Linked DNA regions of Oreochromis niloticus. The protein of the gene in region 1 purifies or fractionates together with the protein of each later gene. This does not show direct contact. Links are inferred from orthologs where the notes say so. Each region holds a gene or a part of one and is shown in the gene's direction. Other genes may lie near its edges.

The links. Proteins that work in one complex are often made in the same cells at the same time.
Region 2: the proteins of structural maintenance of chromosomes protein 1A (region 1) and pds5a purify together in Homo sapiens (co-immunoprecipitation; 8 studies listed by BioGRID and IntAct, with this or other methods). This does not show direct contact. The link is inferred for Oreochromis niloticus from reciprocal best matches to the Homo sapiens genes SMC1A and PDS5A.
Region 3: the proteins of structural maintenance of chromosomes protein 1A (region 1) and sf3b3 fractionate together in Homo sapiens (co-fractionation; 3 studies listed by BioGRID, with this or other methods). This does not show direct contact. The link is inferred for Oreochromis niloticus from reciprocal best matches to the Homo sapiens genes SMC1A and SF3B3.
Region 4: the proteins of structural maintenance of chromosomes protein 1A (region 1) and cdca5 purify together in Homo sapiens (affinity purification with mass spectrometry; 7 studies listed by BioGRID and IntAct, counting the BioPlex papers as one, with this or other methods). This does not show direct contact. The link is inferred for Oreochromis niloticus from reciprocal best matches to the Homo sapiens genes SMC1A and CDCA5.

What each region holds. Positions count from the first base shown.
Region 1 is NC_031984.2:20,061,115-20,068,999, reverse strand, and holds the start of structural maintenance of chromosomes protein 1A, read left to right. Parts: upstream 1-4,866; 5' UTR 4,867-5,136; coding exon 5,137-5,245; intron 5,246-6,262; coding exon 6,263-6,451; intron 6,452-6,817; coding exon 6,818-6,930; intron 6,931-7,192; coding exon 7,193-7,396; intron 7,397-7,885. Other genes in the region: ribc1 (RIB43A-like with coiled-coils protein 1), read right to left, coding at 1-27, 188-354, 2,226-2,462, 3,055-3,173, 3,460-3,574, 3,699-3,916, 4,079-4,277. UniProt on the Homo sapiens protein: Involved in chromosome cohesion during cell cycle and in DNA repair. Central component of cohesin complex. The cohesin complex is required for the cohesion of sister chromatids after DNA replication.
Region 2 is NC_031971.2:22,049,719-22,057,695, forward strand, and holds the start of pds5a (sister chromatid cohesion protein PDS5 homolog A), read left to right. Parts: upstream 1-4,968; 5' UTR 4,969-5,117; intron 5,118-5,171; exon of another isoform or gene 5,172-5,345; intron 5,346-5,659; exon of another isoform or gene 5,660-5,910; intron 5,911-6,032; 5' UTR 6,033-6,071; coding exon 6,072-6,182; intron 6,183-7,977. Other genes in the region: n4bp2 (NEDD4-binding protein 2), read right to left, coding at 1,016-2,000, 2,953-3,193. UniProt on the Homo sapiens protein: Probable regulator of sister chromatid cohesion in mitosis which may stabilize cohesin complex association with chromatin. May couple sister chromatid cohesion during mitosis to DNA replication.
Region 3 is NC_031972.2:7,732,593-7,740,481, forward strand, and holds the start of sf3b3 (splicing factor 3B subunit 3), read left to right. Parts: upstream 1-4,880; 5' UTR 4,881-5,038; intron 5,039-5,586; 5' UTR 5,587-5,644; coding exon 5,645-5,714; intron 5,715-6,068; coding exon 6,069-6,224; intron 6,225-6,519; coding exon 6,520-6,690; intron 6,691-7,875; coding exon 7,876-7,889. UniProt on the Homo sapiens protein: Component of the 17S U2 SnRNP complex of the spliceosome, a large ribonucleoprotein complex that removes introns from transcribed pre-mRNAs.
Region 4 is NC_031985.2:14,016,640-14,023,706, forward strand, and holds cdca5 (sororin), read left to right. Parts: upstream 1-4,877; 5' UTR 4,878-4,909; coding exon 4,910-5,692; 3' UTR 5,693-6,558; downstream 6,559-7,067. Other genes in the region: psmb2 (proteasome subunit beta type-2), read right to left, coding at 2,701-2,771, 2,908-3,030, 4,546-4,636. UniProt on the Homo sapiens protein: Regulator of sister chromatid cohesion in mitosis stabilizing cohesin complex association with chromatin. May antagonize the action of WAPL which stimulates cohesin dissociation from chromatin.

The sequences.
Region 1 (7,885 bases):
TACAGTCTCTTATTCAGGTACTCTTGCCTGGGGCAGAAACAGAAATTTAAACACAGTAAGTAGCTTGTTCCCCAAAATGTTTATAAAATCTGAAATCTATATTTCCATACTTTATCACCTAAGCCTAAAACACATTTGCTGACTAGTGTCTAATCAGAGAGTGCATGAATATGTGCGCAGTGCTTACTGTGCCAGCTGTTCTCGGGCCAGCTGCATGTTGTAGCGGTCCATCTGAATTCTCCGCTCTCTACTCAGCTCGGCTGCTGTCAGATCCTCCTTCTCGGCTTCTCTGGACAGCTTCAGCAGCTTCAGGTCCCAAGCTGCATCCCGAATCTTTTCAGCATCTTGCTGTTTCTGAAGGCAGAGAGGAAATAAATCTAAAAACGCACTATACTTGTTCTCCTAAAGGCAATTCTGCTTCATTATTTAATGATTTAGGTTCCCAGACTTCCTCAGATTTTGATTTCATGCTGATTTTGGGTGACTTTAACATGCCTGTAGATAACACTGAAAAATGCAAAGCTTCAGAGCCAAATAATCTGCTGGAGGTCTTATGGCTTGGTAACTGGATCCACTCAAATGTTTTTTTTCTGTGTTAGCACTTTATGTTTATGCTTATTCTCGCCACTATTGCATCTTGAAATCAATGTTGATCCTGTTAATCCAGGTCCAGGCACTAACAGGAAGTTTAGGGCCTTATTTTAGTACACTAGAAAGACTAAGAAGATACCATCATCCTGAATAAGGAGAAAACTGATATATGATGGTATATTTTTTTAATATCTCCAGCACACTAAAATAAGACCTTTTATTACTTGCTCAAACCTACTTTCAGTGCCTGGATGCTGGTTTGAGCACCGCTGGCTTGATGGACACTAGTAGTGCTCCTGTTACTTCAATGGCTTCCAATTAGTTTTAGAATTGATTTTTAGATGTTAGTGCTTTTTTACGGTGACGCAATGTTTGCGACCTCAATATCTATCTGACAAGCTAGTAAGCTACCTGCAGACCTCATGGATTATTTACCGAGTCTTAACCAATACTGGTGATGTGGCTTTTATCTTTTCTGATTCGCTGCTGAAACAACCTTCTGAATCACACCAGGAGTACTCCAACATTTGCAGTGTTTAAAACAAAACAAAAAGGAGGGACAAACCTAAGTTGAACACCTTTTCCACTGTGGGAGAAGAGCTACAAAAACCTGGGTATTCACATCAATAATAGACTAGACTGGAAATGCAACACTGAGGCTTTCTGGGTCATTTAATGAATTCAGTAAAACACTACTGTCTGTTACTGCTAGTGCAATCTTCTTTGTAGGTTTGTTTTGGGGTAGCAGCATCAGAGCCAGTGACACTGGAAAGCTGAACAAGCTGATTAAAGGCTGAGTCTGTGCTGGGGACTAGCCTGAAGCCCCTAGAGGTAGTTATTAAGAGCAGGATGTTGCACAAACTGCTAAACATACTGGACGACACACAACATCCCCTTCATGACCTACCCGTCAAGAGTGTTTTCAGCAGGTGGCTCCCTTAACTCTGCTTTAATAATGACTGATATTAGTATTTTAATATATTTTTTAAAGTATTTTTAGTTTAGTTATTTCTTTTTGTTTTATGAACTTTGTGCTTTTAATTCTACTTATTTCACTGGTTTTAAATGATCATTTATACTCATCTGTCATTAGTTTTAATTATCTTGATATATTTCTTTTATTTTATGGACTGAAGGTATAGATCTCATATAAATGTATATTTTTACTATTAATATTGCACTGTTGCTTTTTTGGTTGTTTTTACTTGTGATTACAGACTTTGTAGTTTTCACATTTCCATCTAATTTTTTTTTTTCAAGTCTAGGATCATTCTCTTTGTGAATGAGTAATCTCCTCAAAGCTGAAAAGTTTACAACCCTTTTTGAAAACAACCCATGTAGAAAAGTTGGCACAGATGTCAAAAACTCTTTCCCTTCATCCCAAAATGGTCGCGGCAGATGGCTGCCTGCCCCTGAGCCTGGTTCTGTCTAAGGTTCAACAAGAGTTTTTCTGTCCCACAGTGCCAAAGCACAAGTACTTGCCCCGCCCAATTCCCCCGCTGGCCACCTCTGAAGTCGCATTAACAAAACACACAAGTACTCAAGGGATTGTGTGCACATGGTATTCTACATACCATATGTGGGATACTGTGTGCAGCTTTGACTATATTACTGTGGAGTACAGAGTGTAATACCTGTCTCTCAAGGCATTGTTGTTCTCTCTCCTGCTGAATGCTTTTCAGCTGTTCAGGGCTCATTCCTTTCCACCTGTCTGGTAGAACCTGTGGTGGCCTCCCTCCTCCCACCTGTCTCTCTGTTGCCTCTGCACACTCTGTCATCATGTCAGATGTCATTGTATGCCACATCTCTGCCAGATTTTCCTGTTCCTCTCTCTTGTGTTGCTCCTTCAGTTTCTCTGCTTGCTCTTTAGCCTGTGTGTACAGAGCATGGTGAGGCTTTAACACAGATCCAGGGACAGTTAATTGATTATCCCACTGATGACTGATGATTCAGAAGCATTGCAAAACCCAGTCTCTAAAATGTGGTTACTCCTAGCATAGAGCTACCAGTCAGCCATATGGCGAACGTCGTCCTGAGAGAGCCACTCAGTCAGCTGTATTTGCTTGTGCATCATGAGTGGTTATTAGTGAAACCACTAAACACTATGAAAAAGTACAGTGACCTGAAGAATTTACAATGATGCCTCCCAATGGGGGATTCAGCCGAGTGCATTCAGGCAAATGAGGGAAGAGCTAAATGGGGGCTTTTAAAAACAGACAGTAACCACGCATACATCAAAGCTGTTTAACCATCCATGTTGCCTGGTGCCAAATAATATGATTGCCGCCATCCTGCACCAAGTGTGTGCATGCATCATTTGACATTTTCAGCTTGCAATTCCCACATGACAACATCATGTCACAGCTTGCCCCCCCCCCTTAGATTTTTGCCTTGAGGATTCACATTAGTGAGTGGTGTGTGCATATCTGTTTGTCCATCTGTGAGTGTGCACATATACTGTACCAGAGCCTGATTGTAGTTGTCGAGCGCGATGCGGGTAGCTCTCTTACACACCTCCTCGAGGGCAGCTTGCTGAGCCCCTCTCACATCTTGTTGCACCAGCTCTTTGCTCACAAGCATCTCTGTGACACACATGATTTGGGGATCATCTGATGTGTGTTTTTCACACCTGCATTAGCGGTTGTATGTGGCTCTTCAACTGCACACTTCACACTTACAGTAAGGCTCTTAGGGATGAGCATCCATCACTGTCACCTGGTAATAAGGGCTGTGCATGGGAGTGTATGATTGTTTGTGCAGGAAAGCATGAAGCATGTGTGTGATGTACAGAGGTTGTAGAGTAAAGGATGTAAGCTCATTAGGAATGCTAGTGAATGTGTGTACTTGTGTGTGTGTGTCTCTTTTCACCTATGTGCTTGTCTCGCATGTGCCTTTTTTCATTCTCATCCATCTGTGCTCGCAGATCTCGTTCTGTCTTTCTTATTTGTTCTCTCATCCTCAGCTCCTCTCCGACACCCTCTCCCTGTGCATGAAACAAGGACAGATGACCATAAGCGGTAACAATATTACATATTTAACCATTAGCTGGAGCCCCCCCCCCGGTCTTTAAAGCATACAAATCACCTGCTTTGTCAGAGCTGCCCTACCTTAAAGATTTGCATACTGGCAGGCCCTAGCTCATCCTCTGGAATGGCGATCTTGAATGCCCCCTTCAGGTCAAATTTAAGATCAGCATCACGAGAGTCCTCTGCTCGCTGATGAGTAGCCCAGTAATTGGTGAGTTCAGAATTCAAAACTCTTCGCTTCTCCTTTTCAGCATTGTTCTGCTGCACCAGTACTTCATCTTGGCATATTCTCAACTTATCTGTAATACATTAAAAATACACCTGTGACCAACCAAAGCTCATTAATGGAGAGGGCCTGAAACAATAAGGGGACCAGGGGACTTGCATTTATAGCGTCTTGCAGGAATTATGTCTGCAATTATACTGCTTTAATTCTACCTCATCCCTGTCCTTCAGTTTACCCAAAGCTTTGTCCCTTTGTTTCTCCATGTTTTGCTGGTGTTTCTTCTCCTGGACTTGTTGGTTTAGTGTATCTAGGTCGAGACCCATCACACGAAGCCGGGTGTTGAAAATGCGGGCCTTGCGTGCTGTTTCTGCAGCCTTACGCCTCTCCACAGCCTTTTCCGTGGACTCGTCTACAGGCAAATCCACTTTGTACATGTTCAAAGTTTGTAGTGACTTCCTAAAGAGACAGCATTACGACACTTATTATCAGAGCTGATAATCTTGCCTGAAAATAAATTATTAAAGAAATGACTATGCCGATTGAAATATAAAATCCTGGTGGGGTTCATCTTCAGAGCGATTTGCTCCTGTCATCACCTGATAACATCAAAAACCAATGCTTCTTTAAAGGCATATTTAAAGAATAAGTGGACTAAATTAAATGGCTTTTCCTTAAAAATGGACATACACCACTTACCGCTGACGTTATAAATCTGCTCAGTTTCTTTCAGTCAATATCAGTGAATGAAAATCTGCTCCTGTTGTGTTTGGAGACGCTTGGTAACCATGGAAACATGTGGACACACATCGATATGCTGGAAATACATAACGAGAGTGACAGGACCAGCTAAGGAAATGTCTTTTTATTTTTTTAATAATGTGTATAATTTGTAATAAAGTAGCATTAATAGTAGTAAAAAGTGATATCCAAGGCCGAGATAACAATCAAAACACGACAAACGCCAGACAACTAAATTTGGTCTCGCGAGAAACTGTGAGGTTTCGTGTCTCGCGCGCTTGTGGGTCTTCCTGTTGGATTGTAAAATGGCGCATTGTTGTCGCCGCCGTACCGAATATATTTGATAAAGATTATAATTTTTATTTTAATTTTTAAAACGATTGCGCAGATCATAATGTAACTTGTGCATAGAGCAGCAGTAGATTGACCAGAGGGGTTCATTCATTTCGTGCACACTGCGTCTTTGCAACAGCTTACCGGGTAAACATTGGTTGTTAGCATTAGCTAACTGCTAAGCTAATATTCACTGCAGACCAGCTAAACAAATAGAACGAGATGGGTTATTTAAAACTGATAGAGATCGAAAATTTCAAGTCGTATAAAGGAAGGCAGATTATCGGACCTTTTCACAAGTTTACTGCAATCATCGGACCCAATGGATCTGGTATGTAATGACAGCTAACATAAGCTCGAAGCTAATGCGAAATGCAAACTGCTAGCTGTGCCTAACGGTAAACAGAGCTCCACAGCCCCGCTCTATTTGGATCATAACTCTCAGTCTGTGCACAGCTGAACTGGACAGAGGTTCAACTGTTGGTGATGTGATGTATCGTAGTGTTTCATGTTTACATTTGGCACTATAGAATTTATTTAAACTTTATTTCGGTGTATTTATGGTTGTCAGTTTGTAGAATGTCGTTTTTGCATTTTTATTGAAGTCACTCCATTAGACCGTTTAAGCACTTATGTCGTATAGGCACGTAATATATTTGTAAACATTGGTGTTGGACCCATTACACAAGAGAAAGACTTTCAACGGTCTTTTCTCGTAATACAGTGCAATGCATCATCAAAACTATCTGGCCTGTAAGTTTAGCCATATCAACTCAAACAAAACAACGTGTAAAAACTGCACACTAATAGCCAATGAGATGGATTTTATTGCAGAACTGCTGTTTGGTACCAGACTTTACAAATAAAAAGTGAACCTTACTGTAATATTTACAGGACATGCATAGGATCTAATCGTTGTTTCCCCATCCCACAGTGTGCAACTAGAAAGAATTAAAAAATATATAATTTAATTATGTAACATTAAATAAAACAAATAAATAAAACTATAAGAATCTGAGATACAATGTACAAAATAATATTAGGTAACAAAGTATGATTTACATAAGGGATATTAAAGCCTATATATAGTTGTTGCTGTTTATGTATAAAAGCATGAGGCTTTCAAGGGTTCTTAAAGTATAAATGTCATTGCAGATCTTTGTGTACAAATATTAAGGTATAAATGAATCATTAAAAACCTATACACATAACTGCAAGTCCATGTATATTGCAGTGCAGTGCATCAGTATGAGACTGAATGTGTAGATGGCAGCAACATGGTCTTAACATATGCCTTTTAATATAAAAAGGTCCCAAAGTTTACTAAGATTCATCACAATGTTTGTAGGAAAGTCCAACCTTATGGATGCCATCAGCTTCGTGTTGGCAGAGAAGACAAGTAACCTGCGTGTGAAGACTCTGAAGGATCTAATCCATGGAGCGCCTGTAGGGAAGCCAGCTGCCAACAGAGCCTTTGTCAGTATGGTGTACCAGGAAGATAATGGAGAAGAACGTGCCTTCACAAGAGTCATTATTGGTACGAAGCTCCATTACCAACTGTCCTTGAATATAAAATTAACTTTCTTTTTGAATAGTTGTCTGTGTGAATTAAGAGACACTGATCTAGTAATATTTGAATGCTTTTCAGCTGAATAAAAGGATAGTAGTAAAGCTGCATGGATATCAGTTTTCAAAAATTGACTCATCATCTAAGAAAACATTTTTACACATCTTTGGCATTTGGCGTTTAAAAAATATTTAAAATCTGTTACATTTATAAATTGTAAATAAAATGCACTTTTTTACTGTAGTATATAAAATAATATAGTTTAATAGTATAGTATATTATTTGTGTGTGTTGATGATGAGCTAATGCTTGTTTTGTTTTTGGAATATGCACCAGGTTCTTCCTCTGAGTATCGCATCAACAGTAAAGTAGTGGGCCTGCCTGAATACAGCGAAGAACTGGAAAAACTTGGAATTCTGATAAAGGCTAGGAACTTCTTGGTCTTTCAGGTAAGATTTAATTCTTGTAAATGTTGTCAAGATCTTTTCAAAAGCAATTTATGCACAGGCAGTCTTTCATAGTACTCCTGTACTAATCCACTAGGTTATTTTGATTGGATAGTGCAGTAGTAAAGTTTTTAGTGTGTGTGCGTGTGTGTGTATATCATTGGTTTGAACGTGACTTGGCCAGTTAGACCAGAGATCAAATTAACACCAGGTAACATTTTATTTGCTATTTTAAAATTCAGTTTTGTCTTTATTTCCCTTTAAGGGAGCTGTTGAGTCTATTGCCATGAAGAACCCCAAAGAGCGTACAGCGCTGTTTGAAGAGATCTCCCGTTCAGGAGAGCTGGCCCAGGAGTATGACCGGAGGAAGAAGGAGATGGTGAAAGCAGAGGAGGACACGCAGTTCAACTATCATCGCAAGAAAAACATCGCTGCAGAGCGCAAAGAGGCTAAGCAAGAGAAAGAAGAGGTTTGCCATTTTTACTGAGTCTGCATAGGACCCAGAGTGTCATCATTAGTGTCTATGGTTATTTGCATTTACTGAATTCCTCCATACAGGATTCATTGAGTGGTATAGCCTGTTTCTACTCTAACAGATTTTAGGTAATATATAATTCCAGATAATGCAAATACTTGTCATTCATATGAATGCACCAAACTTCAACAGTAAAAGACAAACTAGGAACTTTTATCAAAGCTCAACATAAGCTTTCAGCAATGTAACAGTTTCAACTGCACATCCTGCATATAAATCTTTCCCACATATATATTTATATAAGAGATAAAATTTGGTGTTAGGTGAACAACACAAAGATGAAGTAAAGATTGTTACACTGTAATCGGCAGCAAATCTGTGCGTTTCTTATTTGAAATGACTCAAAAATAGCCTTAAAACAAACTTTTGAATTTTCGTGATTAGTTTTTTGTGTTATCTGATGGAAAATTGAATCTGTTACAT
Region 2 (7,977 bases), on another chromosome or scaffold:
TTGTAAACTACTGGTGAATCATCTCTCCAATGACCCGTAATCTTTTTTTATATTTAGATCATGTGAACATTTTATCGTGTTGGTTGTCACTCTGGAACAGAGTCTCTTCCCTGTCTTTAAAACATCCAACACAAGGTTGCAACATACTATTCAACTAATGGAAACAGGCTAAAGTTGTGAAAGAAGATTTCCAATATTTCCTACAGTGCTTGAGCAACAGTTCTCCACACATATTGAAGGTCTTTCAAATCAGTTGCTTTTTCACTCATCCTTATACCGAACCACTTTTAGAGGAATGTTTTTTGCTACTAAAAACTCTGACCTATGAATCATTCGACCATTAAAATGGGTGTTGTGTTTATAAATAACAGATGCTTTAGCAAAGAAGCTATTTTAAATTGTATCATTAGGCCCTGTGTTACCAGCGGCCTGAACCTAGCCTTCAAGAAGCCTGGAGAACTAATTCTGAAGTAACAAAATTACAAGAAAGCTTGCCTAAGAGACCAGGGTGTCTTGGAGAATAAAAGTGGTCATAAAAAATACTACATTTCAAGTTCCCGAGAACAGAACAAACTCTGTTTTTGGCTCAAAAACTGCATTTCAGTTTGCATGTTTGAATAAATTCCTGCACCCATTTCCATTTTCAAAGCAAAATGGACAAATGAGTGGTGGCTCAAGACTTTTGTACAGTGCTATATTTAAATAATATGTCAGTAATTTAACAACAAATATTTTATCTTTTCTGGTATTTTTTTAAGATATTTAAATTTCACTGTTGAAGTATTATTTGTAGCACTTTGTAGTAAAATATAAAAAGAAAAAGGAAGATACACAAGGCAGGAGAATCTAAGTTTTGCATATATATGTTGTAAAAATAGAAAGGCCAAAATTTGTTGCTAAAAGCTCAAATCTTACCTAGCCAAGAAATCTAAACTGAGCACCTTATTGGCTGATTTAAAAAATAGGTTTGCAGAAAAACCTCCTATTACTTTTTAGGCCATCAAAACATTCCTACCTTGCCAAGGTGGATTTGCCAGACCCCGGAGCACCCCGCAGGAGCACAAGCACCTTCCCTTCCAAACGAAGCCTGCTGTTGCGGGCAGGAAGCTGTGGGGGCGCAGGCTGGGCCCAAGACTTTGGAATAGTAGCAGAAGGTTTGAGAGGTGCTTGAGAGAGAGGGCCATGAATCAGATAGGGGACAGACAAATATGAAGGTGTTTGAGCCACGGGAGTAATAAAGGCCGGCATCTGGTTTCCATGCATACGAGGAGAAAACACTGGTGCCTCCAGGTTCCAGTGTTTTGATAAGTGGTCGAGCTGCTCCGGATTCACTGTGTTCATCTTGGATCTCGCTCCTCTGTCGGAGTGCATGACCCCAGCGTTCTCTGAAAGAGTGTGTGTCAGCTCTTGCTTTTTATACACCTGGAAAGCAGAGGGACGCCCTGAAGCTGCCAGGTCCAAGGCAGGTTTTGGGGTGTTTGCAGATGTTTCTGTTGTCAGGTGTGTGAAATCCACTACAGGTTGCTGCCCTTCTGTGCTCTTTTGTTCCCATGTGCTGAGCTGGTCGAGCGGAGAAGAAGCTCCAGATTTATGCTCTATGAAACGTCCTTCAGGGCCAAGCCGCTCAGCAGAGGGCTCTCGAGATCCATGGTCCAGGCTGGACTGAAGCAACTCAGGGAGAGCTTGCTGAGGAAGTGGTGGTGGAGGGAAAGAAGAAGAAAGCGATGCACCAGAAGATAAATATTTGCTGCTGTGGTGCTCCTTACCAACATCCTGTTGCACAGCTAGTGTCTCTAACTCTTGATCAACCAGCAGGTCAAGCTCTTCTGTCAGCGGGTTTGAGGAGGGAGGAGAGGAAGGCTTCTGTGAGGGTTCAGAAAAGTGCTGTGGGGCAAGCAAGGCTGCAGCAGTGCGCTCAAAGCCAGAAACAGAGGGTGGGGCAGCGACTGTGTCTTCAGCAGCCACAGAAAGTTCCAAGAGGGAGTCCATTGCATGTTCAACTATGACACAAAAAGACAGATAAGATAAGCAGAACGTTTTCATGCACATCTTAAATGTGTTAAAACGGCACTCAATATCTGAGTGCCATTTTAACACATTAAACAGCTTATACAGAGCAAAATAAAACCACTGATTTATTTACTCACTGTAGAGTAAAATCTATGGATCAGCCACAGCATGAAAAACTGATGATTTGTTACTTGGTAGCTATGAATAAGCTCCATATGTTTGCTCTTCAGTGACTTTACATCCTCAGGTTGTCAGAAGAGCATAAGCAGACCAGGATGTCAGAGGTTTATAAGGAGACTCGTCAGAAACAAATCTGGATTTGTTTTGGATTTTAGACCTTAGACAGGTGAAGCCGTTACACACAGAGTCACGGATGTTGGATAAATTACTTGCTGCACAGCTGCCATCTTTAAGGTGGATTCATGCCTATCCCAGCAGACGCTTTTTATTATTTTATTATATTTTATTGTATAGCTCCTGTTATATCTGTGCATGTATGAGGAATAAATATGCGCTGCAAGTTAATGTGAGTACATAAATCGTCATTACACGCGAACAGAATTTTAAGTGTTTCTGAGACTATAAATATGCTAACAAAATAACACAGACAGCATATGTGGTCTGATATTTTCGTGCATCATCTTGTTGTGGGACTTCAGGTTTTACTGGAGAGCAATCCACCATAGCACCTCTGCTCCTGGACTATTTAAGGTGCGCCTTTATCCAAAAAAAAACAAAATGGAAATTACAAAATGACTGATGGTAGTCTTTGTGCCTTTGTATTGTTATATGTCGGTCCTGATCTGCCTACAAAGCGTAGTAAAACGCCTCAGTACTGTCAGAAATGCATGACTAAGAGGCTACACTGTACACAGCTAACTGGTTAGTCAAGTTACAACAAATACCTTTCCCAAAAGTAACACGGCGCGTCTGTCACGTTACCTTTGAAGTCACACTCGGAGAGCACGATGTAAATAACTTCGGGGTCCAGATGTGAGAACATCTCCTGCATGCTTCTGACGATCTCATCGTTGACGGTATTGGGTGGAAAGTTGCTGGACATACCACCGCCGTGTCCCTGCTGTAGTGGGTAACCCGTGCTCTGACCGAGGTTTCCCCGCTCATTTGGACCGCCGTCGGGGAGCCTGCCCGGACTCTGGCCGTTTTTCTTTCTCCGAGGCATTCCGTTGGTCACCAGCTGCTCTCATTGGCAGCTAACAGAGCTAGCCAAGTAGCCTATGACCTACAGGAGGACGGGTCAAAGCTGAAAACATGTTGTAGCTCCAAAGTGCAAAAACTCTGTAATGCTATCTATAGCAGTACGAACGACAACACAAGTGCACCGGAAGCAAACCACCGGAAGTCAAAAGGGTAACTTCAAAATAATAGGCTGTTTCTCAGTACGCCTACTTGAAACGCCCACAGATTTCCATGGCCTTTCAGAAAAATGTCACACCCTGCTGTGGAAGCTTGTTTCCGCCATTGAAAAAAAATATATATCCATACGTCAGAGTTTCGGGTAATCATACGAAAATTCGAGTTAATTGTAAATTAGATATAATTACGTAATTTATATTTATTAACTTAAACATCTGAGAAAATACCTTGCGATTTCAAATTATCAAGTCAAACTTTGAGAATATGCCCCCAAAATAAAAATCAAATAAACAAGTAAATCAAATAAAAACTAAATTTTCCCCGTTTTTATCTGTTTTAGACAAGCGTCCATACGAAACTGCTCAGACTGAGCAAAAGTAGCAAAGACTGAAAATTACTATTGCCTCCTTAAACTGTTAGATCGGGCATTCCCAAAGTAACCTCTTTTCAGTCACTATGTGTTTATAGTTATTATTAATCAGCGCCCCCCACCCAAGCCCAGACTCTGGAACCTTCCCTTTGAGCCTGAGATCTGTGGGCTTTTTGATCTCTTTCAGAAACCAGCTAAAAACTCATCTTTTTCAACTTGCTTTTGAGTCACTGTTTGTTTCAATGTTTTGGCATTTTGATTTTTTAATTTTGGAGCACTTTTGGATATTTATCTTGAAGGGTGCATAAATCATTTTTACTTAATTATGTTTACTTTTTAAAGGTAGCAGATATAATTGTTGACAGAACCTGTTTTACCAAAGACATGAAAACATAATAGCCATAATGAGCTGATTATGTTATACTGAAAGTTAAAATGGCAAGGATGGATTCAGTAACTGTTGGGATTTATTATAATAGCATATACGCATTATAACCATTAAACACTCTCCTCACTTATAGATAATCAAAAATATCCTCATAATTATTTATTCATCAGTATTAATTCAATATTAATTAACCCTGAGAACACAAATGCATTCTGTGCATTAAAAGCAGCTGTAAGAAAATGCTTGTGTGTATCAATTGATTTGCACATTTCCCACACTCACTGAGAAATCCCCCCCCCCCCCCAACAAAAAACAAAACAAAGGAAAAACAAACATACACACAGATGTGGCATGTACAGTTTCAAGATGTCCAAAAAACATAATTTTTAATCGATTTAACCCACACTGGTGGATCTAAAATCCATCTGAATAAACATGGGTCACATTTTACCCAGCACAACCTCCCTGTATAAAAAAGTATAGTACCTGCACAACTGTCTAAAATATTTTGGGTCACTTTAGGAAAAGTCAACAAATTTCAGGCTTAAAAAAAGGAAATTGATGGTAGTTTGAGCATATGTCTCAGCATACGTAAGAGTTAACCCTGTTGCAAATAACATTTAAATACAATTATATTTCCAGTGTTTTGACTATGAATAATGTGTGTATGTTATTATATGCCAGTTTAGATAAAATAGTATAAAGATTGCATTTAATGAGTTCAAAATGTTCTTTAATATGAGCTCACTTTAAGGATAAACCCACAGTGGGTTGAGGAACAGAAAGTGTGCCAGCTATCGGTTACAGACTCCCGCCATGTATGTGGTGCATCAGTACCCGTCTGATACTGAAGGGGGCGTTCTGCACCCAGCCTTCACACAAACAGCACTGACTGAACGGACAGAGAGCTTTGTGCCGAAAACTAAGCCCAACCTGTGTCAGACTAATGAATTAAAACGGCCTGTTTAAGAGGTAAATACTACCGAGGAAGCGCTTGGCAAACAACCCGGGGTTTGAGTCGCAGTCGTATATTTGAAAATAGAGTCATTTTGCATTTGTTAGGGTGTTCAAAATCATCCGTGGGGCAAGTTGGTGTTGAGAGAGGAGGGCTCAGGGCGACGGTAGCAGCAGCCCTTCTTTCGCCTGTGAACTAGCGGCAACACGGAGCGATGCTCGGAAGTTGAGAAAAGACAGTAACAAGTAAATTAGCTTCATTTTTAAACTTCACAAAGTAGTTGCATTAGTTGTAAAGCACAGGAACTGGCCACGAGCATGGCTATTTTAGGCAAAGAGGAGAGGATACTTAACTTCCTCTGTGATTGTAGCTGGAGATGTGATGGGTACCTGAATAGTTTGCGGCCTAGGCTAACCAGTTAGCTAACGTGTACTAGCCGCTCAATGCTAACTGCTAACATGACTTCCTTCCCGCAAAATGCTAACCGCTAGCTAGTAATGTTTGCATTGCAGCTAGCGTGCTAATGTAATAACCAGTATGACAGTAGATATAGACCAGCGCCTCTCGTGTTGTTATTTAAAGTGATTTTACAACTGTTTAGCTGTAGTAATAGCTGTGATATTACCGAAACAGCAGCTGAAATCGTTTCTGCATCCAGGCGATGATTTAGGAGAAATCTACGGAAAATGTAGAGCTGATGTTTATTAGCTTGCACGTTTAGCATGCAAGCTAATATTATGCACGATGCTTGTTTACTGCTTGCTTTCCGTCTGAAAAGTTAACCGGATTAGAATATAGTTAAATATACAGGTACGGTTTTATCAGTTTCAGCAAACAAAATTAATGATTGGCAAATAAGGAAGATGCTTAAAACGAGGTTTTGGTAAGTGCGGTAGCATGGTTGTGTTGAACTTTTGTTTTCTGACCCATAGAGGCCAGTAAAAGACCGTGTGGACCATATATCAACAAGCATGGAGTTCCCGCAACAGCAGAAACCGGCGGGGGAAGGAATCATCTATCCTCCTGGAGTTAAAGAGATTACGGACAAAATCAGTAACGATGAGATGGTCAAACGATTGAAGGTATGTTTAGTGGGGTTTCTTGCTGTAATAAAACACAATTTGTGCTGCCCTAACGTCATTTAAGAGTGTCCAGCCCATGGCGCAATGCCAAAAACCCTTCTAACTTTGTAAACTGCTCTATATTAAGTCATTATTGGCCCTTGTTGTCTTGGCTCTTATTTTGCTTGTAAACAATACTCCTTGTCATGTTGTTCCTACCAGAGTGTTTTTAAATTTGAGTGTGACACCATACAAAACAGGCGGCGGTATTGTTCATAGGCCTAAACTTTTTCTAGGCTTTCATCCTATCTCCCCAGGCTGGAAAAATGGGATGGTCCCAAAATCTGAATGCAAGAAAAGCAAACGTTACACACTGAAGCTATTTTTACTGCTGGTGAACAAAACAGGAACAGTGAGTCATGTTTAAGTAAGATTTAAGAAGGGACCCGCAGTAATAAAACTGATTATAAACAAGAGTCTTCTGACCTTTTTGGATGTAAATAAAACTTAAGGAGTTACCACATCTTTAAAAGATGTGACAGCTAGAACTAGCCTAAAAAGCACAACAGTGTTAGGCCATACTAGAAGTATCTTTTATCTGTTTTTATTAATTTGGGGCAACTGTAAGCCAATTTTTCTTAAATTTGTAGGACTAAAATATATACACTCAATGGCCAGTTTGTTAGTCACCCGTTTAATTTCTTGTTAATGCAAATTTTTGATCAATCCCATGGCAAAAACTACATGCTTACATGGTCAAGAAAACTGTCAGAACATGACTTAAGTGAAGAAAGATGATTTAAGTGACTTTGAAAATGTTAGGTGTCAGATGGACTGGTATGATCGTTGATGCTGTGATTTTCAAAGCAGATGGTAGGACTGCTTTGACCTTATAGGAAGGCAACAGTAACTCAAATAACCATTGATTATAACAAAGGTATACAGAAGAGAATCTCTGAACCATTGAGACATTGAACTTTGATGAAACAGATGGGCTACATAAGATCAATTTGCCTGCCACTCCTATCAGCTAAGAACAGGTCATCTGATTGTTGTGGTTTCTCTGTATTTTTGTATGATTTCCTATACAATATCAAGCACCTTAAGGTGATTGTTGTTGTGATTAGGTGTTATATAAATAAAACTGAATTGAAATGAAATTGGGGCGGCGTGGAGTTTGCGTGTTCTCCCCATGTGTTTGCGTGGGTTCTCTCCGGGTACTCTGGTGAGGTTAGGTTAAATGTTGATTCTAAATTGCCCATAGGTGTAAATGTGAGTTTGAACGTGGTTGTCTGTCTCTATGTGTTACCCCTGCGGCAGACTGGCGACCCTGCCTCTCACTGAATGACTGCTGGGATAGGCTCCAGCTCCCCCCACGATTCTGATAATGATAAGCGGAAGAGAATGAATGGAATGGAATATATTGGAATTGAAACTGAGTTCCACAAAAATAGTGCACCATAATATTGGAAACACATTGCCTGCTTTGATTATCCTTGATTTCTCATGTGTCATTCAGATGATAAGTGTCAGAATTATGTGTAAACAACATGAAAGCATGGATCCATCCTGTCTTGTATACACAGTTTCAGGCTGCTTGTGGTGTAATGGTGTATGAGATATTTTTTTAGCACACAGTGGGCCTCTTAGTATCAACTAAGACTGTTTAAACTCAACAGCCTTCTTGATTATTGTTGCTGTTCATCTCCATCCATGTATGAGCACAGTGTATCAATCGTATAATGGTTGCTTCCAGCAGGACAACACACCATGTCGAATTATCTCACCGTGGTTTGTTGAACATGACAATGAGCTC
Region 3 (7,889 bases), on another chromosome or scaffold:
AATGATTTTGGTTTGTGCTGATATCTTTGGAAAAAGGTTTCTTGACTGACAAGTTGGGATCTAACATCACAAACTGATATCTGGTACCACAATGTACCAAATGAAAATGGGCCTCTGTAGATGTCATGGTTCCCTTGCCCCCTTTTGCTGGCCTGCTGCTTTCTCTCTCTCCTCTTTTGGTGTGTGCCTGTGTTGTTGTCCGTGTGCTTGTCTTTTTTAGGGGATGCTCCTCCACCTTCCTGTCCTTCAGTCACTTGTCAACAATCAGCTGATTACTCGCCTGTCCCTCACGAGGTCTTCATGCTGGCTTCTAAACAACCAGATCATTGCATTACCAAGGTAACATATCATGCCACAGTCATGTCACATTTTCCATCAGTTCTTGCCTTTACTCACTCTCTGTTTCTGTGCAGACGTTTCAGCGCTACGGATCTCCACAACCTTCTGTGACAGTGTCTGAGTGTGCCTTCAGACAACCTTCACTACCTCTGCCCCGTCTCCTGGAGCCCACAGTGTTTATCCTGTATTCATAACTATCTGCAAATAAACCTGTAAAACTTTAACACAGTGTCTCATCATCATTCTGTTGTTTTCATAACAGTACACTTATGTAGATATTCCACTAAATCTCATTTGTGATTTATGATAAATGTTACCATTAATTATTTATATATCTTTACACTTCTGAATAATTTAGTAAAACATCAAAAAGATTTTTACTGTTGTCAGAAAATAAGACATTTCTAATTCTCTACAAACTTTTGAGCTGTAGTCTAGATTGCAATAATAGTGTATGGTTATTGTTTATAGCAGATGAAATAGAAGTATCAGGACAGGGTGTGAATAAAAGTTATGAGTTGTGTTGCTGCAGAGAAAGTTGTTCACTCTGGTGAGGTCTAATGTGTCTAATGGGAGGCTGAGCCTTCAGCTTTCCTGTCACTGTCCTGTGTAAACAGAAACGCTCTCGTCTTTTAACATTAAACTCATAACTTTCCTTTTTGATCAATCTTATAGCTACAGCTAGATCAGCTGACCCTGTCCCATCCTTTAGTTATGCTGTTATAGGCCACAACTGTATGGTTTAAAAATAAACACTCATAAAAAATCATTGTTTCATTGTCTGGTTTATTCTTTTTCCATTTATCGATTATCCAAGTCCTTTTTCCAATGTAATTTAGAGAAACAGAGAAACATATGTCAATACTAAGCTGTTAAGAGGCTACTTACAATAATCTGAAACCTGTATACAGGCTGTGATCAGCTGATCTGTTGCTATTGTTGACCTGAGGTTTACTGCTTTCTGTGGATTTACACAACTGAATCCAACAAGATGTACACAGATGTTTCACAGATGTTTCCATCCCATACACCAAGGCTATTCAACTAAAAAGGGACACCTGCATTCATTCCAGCCCACTTTAATCTGCGAGTGTAAGCAATATAAATGATACCATTGGACCTAAACTAATCAGTCTGTTTCTAAAATCTCAGAAGTAGACAGTGGAGATATTTGCTTACTCAAGTAAAGCACAGATACCTGAAAATTCTTCTTGAGTACAGTAACAAAGTATTTGTAATTTGTTACTTCCCAACCCATTGTCTCGAAAGTACCATTTAACAATATAAACCTCTAGGCTACACTCCCACACAACAACAAAAATCAGTATCCTAATGAGGTCACACGTGTAATGTTTATCTTTAGGTACACAAAGCAAGGGTGATCCCCAGCACAAAGACACTTTAAAGTGATTGGCACAGTGATTTTACTTCAGAAACATGAAGAGGTAGAAAGGAAGCAGCAGTTTTCCACTTTACTACTCTCTCTTGTCCTTTTGTGCAATAAAAAAAGTAATTTCAATATCCAGGCTGTATACTGCGCTACCATTTTCCTCCCCTGGTGCATGACCTGAAATCAGCTGGTTGTAGCTGAAATGCAAGTGGAACCGATAAGCAGGTGTCTTTATTAAATGTTTTTGTTACTACAAAGTCAAAATTTTATGATGGTTTCAGTATTTTAATCATTGCAAGCCCTGCATGTTTTCTGGAAGAAGAAATGACGATATCATTAATTAGATTATACGACATCCGAATCAGATTTTAGAGGAAGAGTTCACACCAAAACGAAATGTTTGCACTTTCCTATGTCCTATAATGTTATGGCTTCATTCTAAGACATCTGCTAAGGAAATGCCAGAAATGCCTGCCAATAAAACTGAAAAAAAAAGATTAAAATGTTAGTTTCTTCATGGCTCATAAAGCAGCAAAAATCAAAAAATTGAAAAACATCTGGAAAAACTGAGAAGCAATATCTATTTGCAGAAATGATAAACTGGTGACTTAACACTTAAGGGCTGGGGGTTGGGTGGGGTGCTCCATAACTGTTTTTGTCATGTAATTGGATTGCACTTTGTCAGGCCTCTACCCTAAGACCTGACCAACTTGGGTGTCCCACCTGAAGGCTAAGCTTCCGCTGATCTAGCTTTTAGGGTCACTGAGGCACGCAAACCCCCTGACCACGTTAAGGTGGTAATCTCTCAGGGGGAAAACAGAAAAACAAAACAACAAAAAATAAAATAAAATATTGCTAATCCGATTCTAACAACTCAAAACATGACATTTACCTTAACCGGATGGCCTATATAATAAATATATTCGAACCCAACAATAGTACGTCACACTACTGCCAATATCAACAAAACCAAAAAGGGTAAGCCAAGACATAAAAATAGACAATTCACAAAGTCTTGAAAAATAAAACTGAAAAATAGAAATAAAGAATAAAAATCCTCAATCCACTCTATAACAACAGTCTCCTGCTTCTCTTTCCAAAAATTCTTACAGATTCATCCATATCCAAGTTATATGTTATGGACTTCTCATGGGCCAAATTTCTCTTTCCTTTATGTAACAAAAGTAAATAAGCTTTACTAAAATCGCTGTAATTACATCAGTATATGAAACGAGGTAACTGTTGAGTGCAGAGTTGAAAGCTGGTCTGACAGACACAGGTGCGTCTGTGCAGCAGACTATGGAACGCCAGGACTGCCATAATGAATAATTAAATACACCATTAAATAATTAATTAAATGTGGCAATAATTAATTAAAATTGGAAATAATTAATTAAATAAATATTTACGACATATTTAATTAAATAATTATTGACACATTTAATTAATTATTTAAAGGTGTATTTAATTAATTCATTATGGCAGTCCTGGCGTTCCATAGCAGACAGGCTCACAGTGGGATTGAGAAATAAACACTTCTCTACCAGACTGAAACTGTGAGAAGAACAATGGCCTAGTCCCCCACTGACTGTACAAATATAAACTTATTTTTTAGTTGTTAATTATCGAGTTCTTGTGCATAAAAACATGTGGAAGTCTGTGAAAGTGCACCTTGTGTAGGAGTCGCAAGGAAAACCTGTACTAGAGAATGAGCTAAAGCAGCTCAACTTAGTTTCAGTATGGAAGCGCAGAGCTGCCACCCAGGCAAAAGAAAAATAGAAGTATATCACGTTATAACGTGAAAAGTTTATTGTTCTAACAAGATACTTTTCATGTTTGTACAATATACTTTTCACGTTTGAACAACATAATATCACGTTATTGCAATATATATAATTATCACGTTCGTACAATATAATATTTATATTGTACGAACGTGATAATTATATTGTACGAACGTGATAATTATATTGTACGAACGTGATAATTATATTGTACGAACGTGATAATTATATATATTGTAATAACGTGATATTATGTTGTTCAAACGTGAAAAGTATATTGTACAAACATGATAGTATATTGTACAAATATGAAAAGTATCTTGTTAGAACAATAAACTTTTCACGTTATAACGTGATACACTTCTATTTTTCTTTTGCCTGGGTGGCAGCTCTACGCTTCCGTAGTTTCAGTGTTTAAACTGTCATTTATATTTTTTCAAAGCAAAGCCCAATGCTGTCGCCACTGAGTGAGCATCAGCGCCCTCTGCAGTTTGTGTGTAGAAGTCAAAAAAGCTTACAGCACCTGGTATTCCCAGGCGGTCTCCCATCCAAGTACTGACCAGGCCCGACCCTGCTTAGCTTCCGAGATCAGACGAGATCGGGCGTGTTCAGGGTGGTATGGCCGTAAGCGAGAGAAATAGCACATAAAAGGCCTTTTATAGGTGGCAAGTGTCACCCAGTTTAATATACATTATTGCGTTTTACAGCGAAAACATGCAAACCTTCGTTATTAACTGCAGCTTCAACATTGAGGTACAAAAATGCTTTTCCCGCAGTAACATCTCAATAATAACACTTGTTAGTTTATTACAGCACCGTGTTAAAGTGACAGAGAGCACACGGTGTGTTAGGACGATTTGTAACGTCAACTAATGCCTTCTTATGAAGGTACGTCTGTGTATATCAGTGATCATTATATAACTAACCTAACAAACTCCTTTTGCCTTGTTTGCTTTTCCCATTATCTCTGCCTACCTTGGTGCTGCTGGACCCCGCATTTCTCTGACGTCCCTCACATGGGCCACCCCATTTTAAAAATCTTGCAAAATTTTTCTTAACAGCTTTGTAATTAAGTTAAATGTAACTTAATATCAAGGATACAAACATCATTGTTTATTTTCTACTTTTTGCCTTTCTTTTCTGGTGTGCAACAAGCATACAGGTTATTTATTGTTTTTGACTAAATAGTAGAAGACGTAGAGTGCTATCATGATAAAGCGTGCAGAAGAAAGGGGCAATAAATGTAGTGGGAAACTATTTTACAGATATTGTTTTTCTTATGGCGCCCATTCGCGATAATTCCGTTAATCTTGAGGTCTTTGTCGTCATCTGCTGTGCACAATACAGTACTACAGTCTCGCATTTCCGTCAGGCACTGTGTGGGCCAGCTCTTGCGACGGCGTTTTGGCTGGCGAAGGACCCACCAACGGCGGTTCAGCGTCGGCTTCTCAGGGTTTCAAGGAAATAGTTTTCGTAAATGAAACTTTATCCATCTGAAATCAGAGTCATCTTACTAAGCACACCGGTAAATATTATATCTTGCAGATCTGCATCTTTTCCGCAATTAAACGGACGTTTAATGTGTGTGAAGTTTGCACTAGCTAAAGTAATATAGCAAGAAAAAAAAAGGGGGGGAAGCGTTAATCAGAAGTGGCGCTTTGTATGAATGGGCCATGTTCTCAGACTCTTGGATTGATGTAAACGATCTTTTTAAGTAGTTTAAATTCGTGTTAAAGGAATGCGTGACCCCTATTGCACGGTTTAAAAGCACAGAGGGTAGTACATAAATGTCCGGGGAACGTTAATTTTCTCACAGCTAATGTTGAGCTAACGTTAGCGGCGCCGTAGGTTTTGTGTCCAGCAAACACTACACCGCTCCACCAACTTTTCATAGCAATATTGTGATGAGTGCAGTCGCTATGTATTGCTCCACAGTCCACTACAGCTGACCTCAGTTTGAAGATCCCTCATTTGTCACCAGTGCGACCGCGTAGCTTATTGTGACTTTGTCCAGTGGTCTCAAACTTCTTGATTCCTTACTGTAAATACACTTTTGGTTTTCTTTGTTTACAGTTCTGAGCCGGGTTAAGCGCTCTTTCAGCTTCCTCTGAATAAGATTTGAGTGGAAGCCATGTTTCTCTACAACATCACCCTGCAGCGTGCCACTGGCATCACCCATGCCATCCATGGAAACTTCTCAGGTGAATTTACGCCAGATGTCACTGCTTTATGTCTGGTTAGGTCATGGTTAATTTATCAAAGCTTGGTAACCCTCCTTTATTGTCAAAGAAGCCTTTAACTGCAATCTCTATGAGAATTAGCAAGCACATTTAATTGTTTTATTTAAGTATCTTTTCTTGTGTTTGTATAGTCATTAGATTTTATCCTATCATGGTGTTTCACTCATTATGTTGATGGAGATAATGTAAAGCGTAGTTTTCTCATGGTTAAAAAATACATAAAAGACATGTCACATAATGCTTTTTTAAAAGCAGGATTTAGGGAAAACCAACAAAAATATCTACGTGATATGTCTGATTTGTCTGTTTTGGTAGGAACCAAGATGCAGGAGATTGTTGTTTCCAGAGGAAAGATCCTGGAATTATTACGACCAGATGCCAACACAGGAAAGGTGCACACTCTTCTCACAGTAGAAGTGTTTGGCATCATCAGATCCCTGATGGCCTTCAGACTCACTGGAGGAACCAAAGGTACAGAAATTACATCATATGCACTCACATGCATGTGTTTGTAACTCTAAACATGCATTGCACAGATTAAATGGCATGTATTAATAATTTTCTCTTAAGTGGTTTTTATTAAATTTTTTGTCTGACACTGATGTATTGTTCGTAGTTGCTTTCTTTTTTTATTCATTTACAATTAGGAGGGGAAGTTGGCCTCCATTGGCTTTCATTACCTAAGCTTTAATTACATGATAGTATCATAATTAATCTAATGTTGACATGCAGGTTTAGTTTCTAAGTGATATTTATGTATTTTTAGATTACATTGTTGTGGGGAGTGACAGTGGTCGTATCGTCATCCTGGAGTATCATCCATCAAAAAATATGTTTGAGAAGATCCACCAGGAAACATTTGGGAAGAGCGGTTGCCGGCGTATTGTTCCTGGACAGTTTCTTGCCGTTGACCCAAAAGGCAGAGCTGTAATGATAGGTGAGAATTTTATGAAGTATGCATGAAATCAGCATTTGACCAGTATGAGGAGTCCATCCTATCAGACAGAACACAGATGTTTGTGCTCTGTTTAGTTTTATTGTGCTATTTTCCTTCTCTCGTAAGATGAGCACCCTTTATTTGACAAAGATGAACAAGAGCTAACTTTATCATACACACTGCTAGGATTTTATGTGTAATCTACTGTGGTGTGTTTAGCGTTGGATGTAATCACCACGAAAAAGCCCATTCAGTGCCAGGAAAAACCCTTGCATTACAAACCAACACTGAAAACTATGTACTCCAAAAGAGTCCATCAGTTAAGACTGATGTGTTTTAAAGGTATTTATTATAATGTATGTTTTTTGTTTTTTTTAGGGTTATATAGTGTGCGTGAATCTGCAGCTTTGAAACTGCATGAAGCTCTTTGCAGCAAGACTTTATACAACCTGGCCTGTAGTGATTTTTAAATAACTTAATATATAAATATATAAATAACTTATTTAATTTATTTGTTGTTAAGTAGGCTGCGTTTAATTTGAATCCTTTGAGTCCTACTTGCATTTGAGCAAAGTGGGCCTGGATAGCTTTATAACATCTATGTTTCTAAGTAGGCCTAAACATACTAACAGATGCCTCTCTTTTTTTTCTCCCCCAATTCAAAATTGTTCCATTTGGTAATAAATTACTTTTATGATTTGACAAATGCAACAAAACATGACATTTTTAACGAAACTGCAAAGTTGATAGGTTTTATAATATGTTTTGTGGCTCCATACAGTTATTTATTTATTCATTTATTTATTTATTGGCAAAGACAAAGGTTGTCAGCCTATTAGATGATAATTTGGTTTATAGGCTGATGATTATTTTTCTTATATTTGGGCCTTGGTGTGTTAGTATAATGTCAATGGTGTAAATATTGCTATAATTGACTTAACCCCAAGAGCTTTACAGGTGCTTAATATAATAAACCAGCATCAAATGCTATAAATTTGGTAGTTCTACATCAGATAATTTTACCTTTGACAGAAGTGCTTTGTGGAACAATTACGATGTTAAATAATGTGTGCTGAATTATTGTTGTTTGAATCCTGAAGAAAATTTATATATACACATATAAATAGTTGTATTAAAACCAGTTAAATGAAGCACTTTAATGTGTTTTGTCATTTATCTGACTAGGAGCGATAGAGAAA
Region 4 (7,067 bases), on another chromosome or scaffold:
TCACTTTCTATGAGAAAGAGCCACTAAACTACTCGGCTAGTCTTTTTAAAAATATTTTAGCTACTAGTAAATTAGTCACCAGGAACATTTTTAACACAAAGACAAATAAAATGGTTAATTAACATTAAAGTGTTAAGGTACTGAACCCCCCACCACCACCTCTATATATTACAATATAACTTCTGCATGAAGAAATACAGATAAAGTAGCAGTAATTTGCGCATTTGGAAATCTCAGTCTTGGCTGGCTTGTTGTGTAAAAGATGTAATACAACACTAAAGGTCAAAACCAGAGTTTTTTGATAAGACATTCAGCAGATCTGCGTAGTGAGGGTGAGAGACAGGCCTGCAGGCTCAGGTGTTACAGGAAATCTCAGAGGGAGAACCCTCAGTCACCTTTCACAACAAGCTGACAAATGTACCTGGCTCTGTCAAAATGCATCTGCTGGTTTAACATGAGTGTCTCAAGCTGACAATGATACAAACACATGTGCCAACTCAAGTGGGAGTTCATTCCCACCTGAGCTCCTCTGTAATACCACCTCTTCAGCACCACCACAACGCTGCCGTGTCATCAACACACTTAGGGCTTCTGTTACTATGTTTTCATTTTCATTTTGAGCAAAGAAAATGAATTTCAAGTAGAAACTAAAATACATTTTTAAATTGGATGAGTAAACCTACCTTATATGGTTAGTCTTACTTGAATTAGTTGGTGATTTTATCATTTGTTCCCTTAAGCCAAATGAGATTGCAAATACTGGCAGAAGACTGTAATTAATTTAAAATAGAAATTAAAATATTTATAGGTATGTTCATTCATTACTCCAGGATGAATATGCTTAATTCAGACAGTGACCACTGGAACTTGGGATTAATTAGCAACTGTTGTTAACAGAGAAAATTTACAAGGATACTAGTGTTGAGATGATTTGAAAATAGGCAAAAGGGTAGAAGTATACTTGAAGCAAAAAGTAAAATATGGAGGAAGACAGAGAGTCCAAGGCAGAACAAATGCATCTTTGCAAGATGACATATCTGTGGGGAAACTAAGCGAGCTCAGGTTGTTTTCTGTTAGACATGATAGTCATTTGGGCTCAATCATATCTGAAACTAGTGACGAAAAAATGTTTAGCCGAACACCAAATATGATATATGTTGCATTGTTTTGCTGATTTCTTTATTTTGTTTTATCTGCGCTCATTTTTGAAACCTTAAATCTTCACACCAATTATGATTTTACTCATTAAGGCAAAACTTTGTGATTTGTGGAGACTCACCTGCAAAGGATCAGTTAGAATGATCAAACTCTGAATAAGCAGGGTGGAGAAAATTTTTCATCCACAAAAGATATCACTTCTTTATGTCTGCATAGTGTGTATGAGGCACCTGAAGTCAAACAATTATACTGGTTATGATTGTAGTCTCTGCTCTCTAGTCTCAAAAGACCACATTTTCCCCAGGGCAAGAGAAAACAGCTCTCACAAAACACAGGTTACGACCACTGCTTTACGTCAAGCTCGTGGCTGTGACAGTTTTTAAAAAAAAAAAAAAAAAAATAGCAATCAGGTGAGGCCGCATTCAACAAATAATTTTTACAATATCAAACATATAATAATAATAAAAAATGTGTGGATTTCTGATAGACATAAGGTAAAGTAAAATATTTTTTCTTCACTTTGTTAAGTGTTTTTTTTTTAAATCTTTTTTCTATCCAAACGTATGAACTCGTTTGTGAATTTTATTTTTCTAAGGATCTCTTTTTTCACAAGTCTAAATCGGCACATTAATGGGCCCATAACAGAGAGTGGGGTCCTGATGGTGTGACATATGCTGCTGGAAACTCAACACTTTCCTCCACAGATAAACATCAAGGTGTTGACTTAGTCAACTCAGTGCTTAAAAATGTTTAGCTTCCTTTGACATTTAGGTAATATATTAACTGATCTGTACACTTAAGAAAAAATATCTTCCTAAAGTATTACTTATTACAACAACTATTAAGTGGCTGGACAAGGAACCACAAACTAAAGAAGAATGATTGGTCACTGCAAAAGAAATACAACTAACTAAAACCGACTAAACAAAAACAAACAAAGACGTGAGAATATTATGATCAAATCTGATTCTACTGATATAATTTGGATTCAAGTGCAACCCTATTGTTTTCAGCATTGAATGATCATATTAGGTAATCTTCACTGTGCCAACAAATTAACTAACAACTCAGACAAAGTTTTTTACTTGTCGAAATAACGAATACACCTATAATTTCAAGCTAATTCTTATATTAAAAGACAATGCTTGAAGCCATTCTTCTTCAATTAAAAAAAAAAGAAGCACACAGTAAAATGGACTGTAGTACTTAGGGATGTACAGATTGTCTCCAGTCACGACCAATGTTGATGTGTAAAATATAAATCTGTCAAAAGTTTGTTCTTACTTATCTGGTTTCTGTTATGTGGTACCACCAAACTTCTTCATTGCAAGAGAAATAAAGAAACCTTCTTTATAACAAAAAATTAAAAAAATAACTTAAATAATTTACAGTTTTCCAACTCTTTACCACACTGTCTTCGATTAGCCGGTGCAAAAATTAATGAGACACAAAAATTAAAATAAAATTGACCACTTTGACTTTATATCCGTGTAGTCTTACTACATTATTCTGTTTTTTTAATAAATATATCAGGACATTTACCCTGCTCCGAAGATAGTCTGCCAGGTTCTTTCGCGTGAAGTTTGCTGCTGCTGCTGGACTGAGCTCATAACCTAAGAAAAAGAAGGCACAAAACTTTGGATATAAATGTTTTTAGCAAGCAAACTGGTTTCCCGAAAACATTTTAGAGTTAAACTTAAAACCTATAAGGACCAGCAGCATCACAACGATCATGTCTGAGATCCTTACCGTTCCTCATTTTGTAGAGCTGCACATTCTTCTGGATGTACTCTGCAAACTGCACTGTGTCTCCAGCTTCTCCCACACACAGCAGCAAAATCTTCTCACTGAGCTTGAACATCTTGTCATAGTCTGAAAAAATATAAAGAAGAACACAAATTCATTAGTCTGTTCCTAAATTGTCTTACAGTTTGTAGTCAAACCTTTATACACACACACACACACACACACACACACACTAATCATGACCATGGTAACTTTGGGCTATTGATGATTTCTCTGAACTGTTCTTTTTCCAGCATAAAAAGGATTTGACTGACACCACTTTTTGGATTGACAAATACTCAGAACAATAAAAAAGCCCAAGAAACTGTAGTTTTACACAAGTTAGGAAGATCTCTCGGAGCCATCTCTGAACAACTACAGATTCCAAGATCATCCGTTCAAACAAATGTATGCAAGTACAAGATGTATGGATGTGTCACCACTTTGGGTCTTCCCCCAGGTGTTGGCAAACTGTCACTCTCAGATAAGAGGAAACTGATTAGGCTGTTCAGGAACAACCCAGGAACCACCAAGGCTCAAGCCTACCTTGAACTAAAAACTGCTGGTGGCACAGTGCACAGCGAAGGGTGTTTGCATCGCCATGGACTGAGAGGGTGCCCACCAGGAAAGAAGCCCCTGCTCCAAAATTGCTGACCACATGGACAAGACAACATGGACCAGTCAACGATCAAAGTATTACGGCCAGACAAAACAATAACTGAAATATGGCCACAATGACAAGATGTTGTTTGGAGGAGGTGACCTGTTAAGCCTGGTGGTAGCATCATGCTCTGGGGCAGTTTGCTGGCAGTGGTGCTGGTACTTTAAACAAAATGCATAGAATAATGATGAAGGGCTACCTCCAAATTCTTCAACCTCACCCCTATTTAACAGCTTGCAGGTTGAAGCATCAAGAAGTGTGGTCAAAACCCAGTCAGAATTATGCAAGTCTGTTGATGGCTTCCAAAAGTATATGATCAAGGTACAACTTGCTAAGGGAACCAAATAATCCTGAGGATGTGTGAATATATTTGACCCTGTGTGGGTTGGTGAAAATACGAAATAAATTGAAACTTGTTCTCCCAACTCTCATTTTTTTTATTCATTAAAGATATATGCTATACAATCATTTCACCCTGCAAAAAGAACAGATCAAACAAATCATTAATAGGTTAAAATTATCCATGGTGAGTGTAAGTAAACTTCCATTTCCACAGTGATGCAGTGACTTTCACTTTCGTTGTCAGTAACCTTCTTATGGCAGCTCATGCAAAGGTTACCAACTTTAGTTACGAATGAAATGTAGAGTTGATCTATTAGCTAGGAAAAGGTTATGATAATGCTGAGAAAAAAAAATCAAACTGCGATAGAACATATTATTTGCTACTCTACTGTTAGCTTTGTTAGCTCTAGTCACATTCACAGTGTATAGTTACATGTAAATATTTAGCAAAAAGAATTAAAAAATGGTTCAAGTACTACTTATTAGAAGCAGAAAGCCGGTTTAATGCATTTAGAGACTCTAAAATGTAGCTATGTTAGCAAGTATGTCTAAAATAACCGGCTATGCGGCTAAGGCTACAAGCTAACGCGTTGTCATACCGTGTTTCATCTGAATGATGCTGCTTGCTGCAACATTATCAGCGGCGACGAGGACAAAATCCTGTCCCTGTATCCCGATTAAATATTCCATTCTGTTGAACTGACAGAAGTTGGAGTATTTATATAAAACAGATTAAATTATGAGCAGTCTCTTTGCCTCGCCTGTATGGATTACACAGCAAAAGTTTGTGATAGCCGGCGCACAGTGTTTACGTCACAGCAAAGGAAGCTCGTGTTTTCCACGCGACGCGGGCGGGCAATTTGAACGTTCGCTGTTGTTGTGTGCCCTGTGTTGGTTGAGTTACAGTCTGATCCGCTGTAAGAGAAGAAAAAAGATCTGGAGTTTCTTTAGGAGACTGTTGGGATGAACGAAGGGACTCCTCGGAGCATAATGACGGACTCTAATAGCCTTGACAGCTCGCAGCGGAGACGTTCCCCGCGGCTGAGCTCTCCGCAAGCTCAAAGTGACAACAAAATGGCGCTGCCGTCTCTCGCTGTTAAACGCTCAATCACTGTGAGAAAAATAGCGCCCAGAAAAACAGTCGCGTTATCGGAACAGAACAAGGAGAACACGCCGAGGCCGTCCAGCTCTGAGGGCATCCAGCAGAAAAAGCAGGTCTCCACGCCCGGTCCCGTCCCCGGCCGAGAGAGCAGCTCTTCCTCGGCTAAGAAGAAAAAGAAGGCCGCTATGCCTTCACCGATCCTACCCTCATCACCGCCGCCTGCTTCTCATCCCTCGCAGATGGATCCAGAAGACGCGGTGTGGTCGCAGAAGGTACGCCGATCTTACAGCAGGCTCAGCGAGAAGTCTTTCAACAGCCCCGAGTCTCGTGAGACCTTATTCGGCTTTGAGAAGCTGAAAACCCCAGAGGTCCGGAGAGCCGGGGTGTCCAAGTTTGGCCTGGAGGTTTCCGCAGGATCATTTACAGGACTGAACTCATTCACGTCTTTGCTTGAGGCTGATGACTGCGGTGGTTCAGCTTTCCCCGAGCCGGACCCAGACATCCCCGGAGTGGCTGTGGTGAAGGAGAGGAGGAGGAGGAAGAAGAAGGTCCAGCAGATAGACACCACGGAACTTGACGCTCTGGCTGCACAGATGAATGCAGAGTTTGACCAGGCTGAGGAGTTTGAACTGGTCGTGGAGTAAATATTCAAGGGAAAAGAGAAAGACTTGGGCAGCATGCTTGTGTTTGTCACAGACATGCACACAAACACTGACTCTGGGAGGACTCTGCTGAAAATGTGCTTTTCTTACTCTAAACATTCAAGTTTTATCTGTTTTTATTTGTTCTTATTGTAAAGTTTGATCATTTTGGAGTTTCCTGTGTTTATTTGTTCCTGTAAATGCTCTTAATGTGATTGCTAGTCATTTTGTGGATGCTTGCAGACAGGATAGTTTTTGATGTTATAATGGCCCCATAGTTACACAAACAAGACCAAAATTAAAATTTTTAGATACATTCACCTGTAGTAAAATCAGTCAGGATGCAACAATATATCAGCAAATATCAGGGTTGTTGACTGGCGCTGGTATTTTTCAAATAAGATGCCTTTCACTGATTTTTATCTGGTGTGTGACCATCGCTTTTACTCTGGTGGGATGTTAAAGGCTTTTAAGACAGTTGTGTTCTTATTATAATCTTATTATGAATATTTCATTATCTCCCCTGGCATAAGGGTTGAATAAATAACAATAAAATGAAGACAAAAAGAATCTTGTGTCACCCTGGAAGCATAATACAGGGGGAGTTGTAGCCTTTAAAGGGGCAGTTTTCTACCCTGTAGAGTACATTTTGTTTCTCTTAATGTTTGTAATAGAGGCTGAAAACAAAAGATTTTGGTATAATTTTCTATATCTAAAACCAGGATATTTCCTCTTTTATAGAGTGTTTGAATCCACATTTATTGACACAAAGGTTCTATAGCAGTTGCCAATACTCTCGTCCTGAACTGTTTTCTTATGTGTCTTTTCTTGGAAATTTTCATGTAAATAAATGCTAAAGCTGGATCTGACTTCTGAGTCAAAGTAAATTGTTTTATCCTTTATTTTTCCCAAATTACACACAAATTCCAACAATATCTTAATTTATAAAACAAAAGAAATAGAAAATAACAAAGACGACCATCACAGACTTGCAACATTATAAATGGTATTTTCATCTTATTCCAGCTGTAAAATGAATATTACACAGAAATCTGTTTATTTAATCTGTCACTAGTATTCTGAGGTTTGAAATGTGTACTGAGTTATTGCCTGATGATGGCACTCAGGATTAGCCAGCACAGACTAACAAGGTGCTAACCAAGCACGCTGACAGCAAAGAGGTGGTCTCCAGTGGTTATGATGAGGTGAACTGAATGACTGAGTGGGCAATGTGTCTCTGTTTAATGAGAGTGGTGGACATTTTTCCTCCAGAGTCTCTTAAAGGAGTTGATAGAGGATCATTTGCACTAACAAGGAGCTATGTTCTGAGTAACCAATGCTTCTTGAAAACTTGTCAGGATTTGTTGATTTATTTATG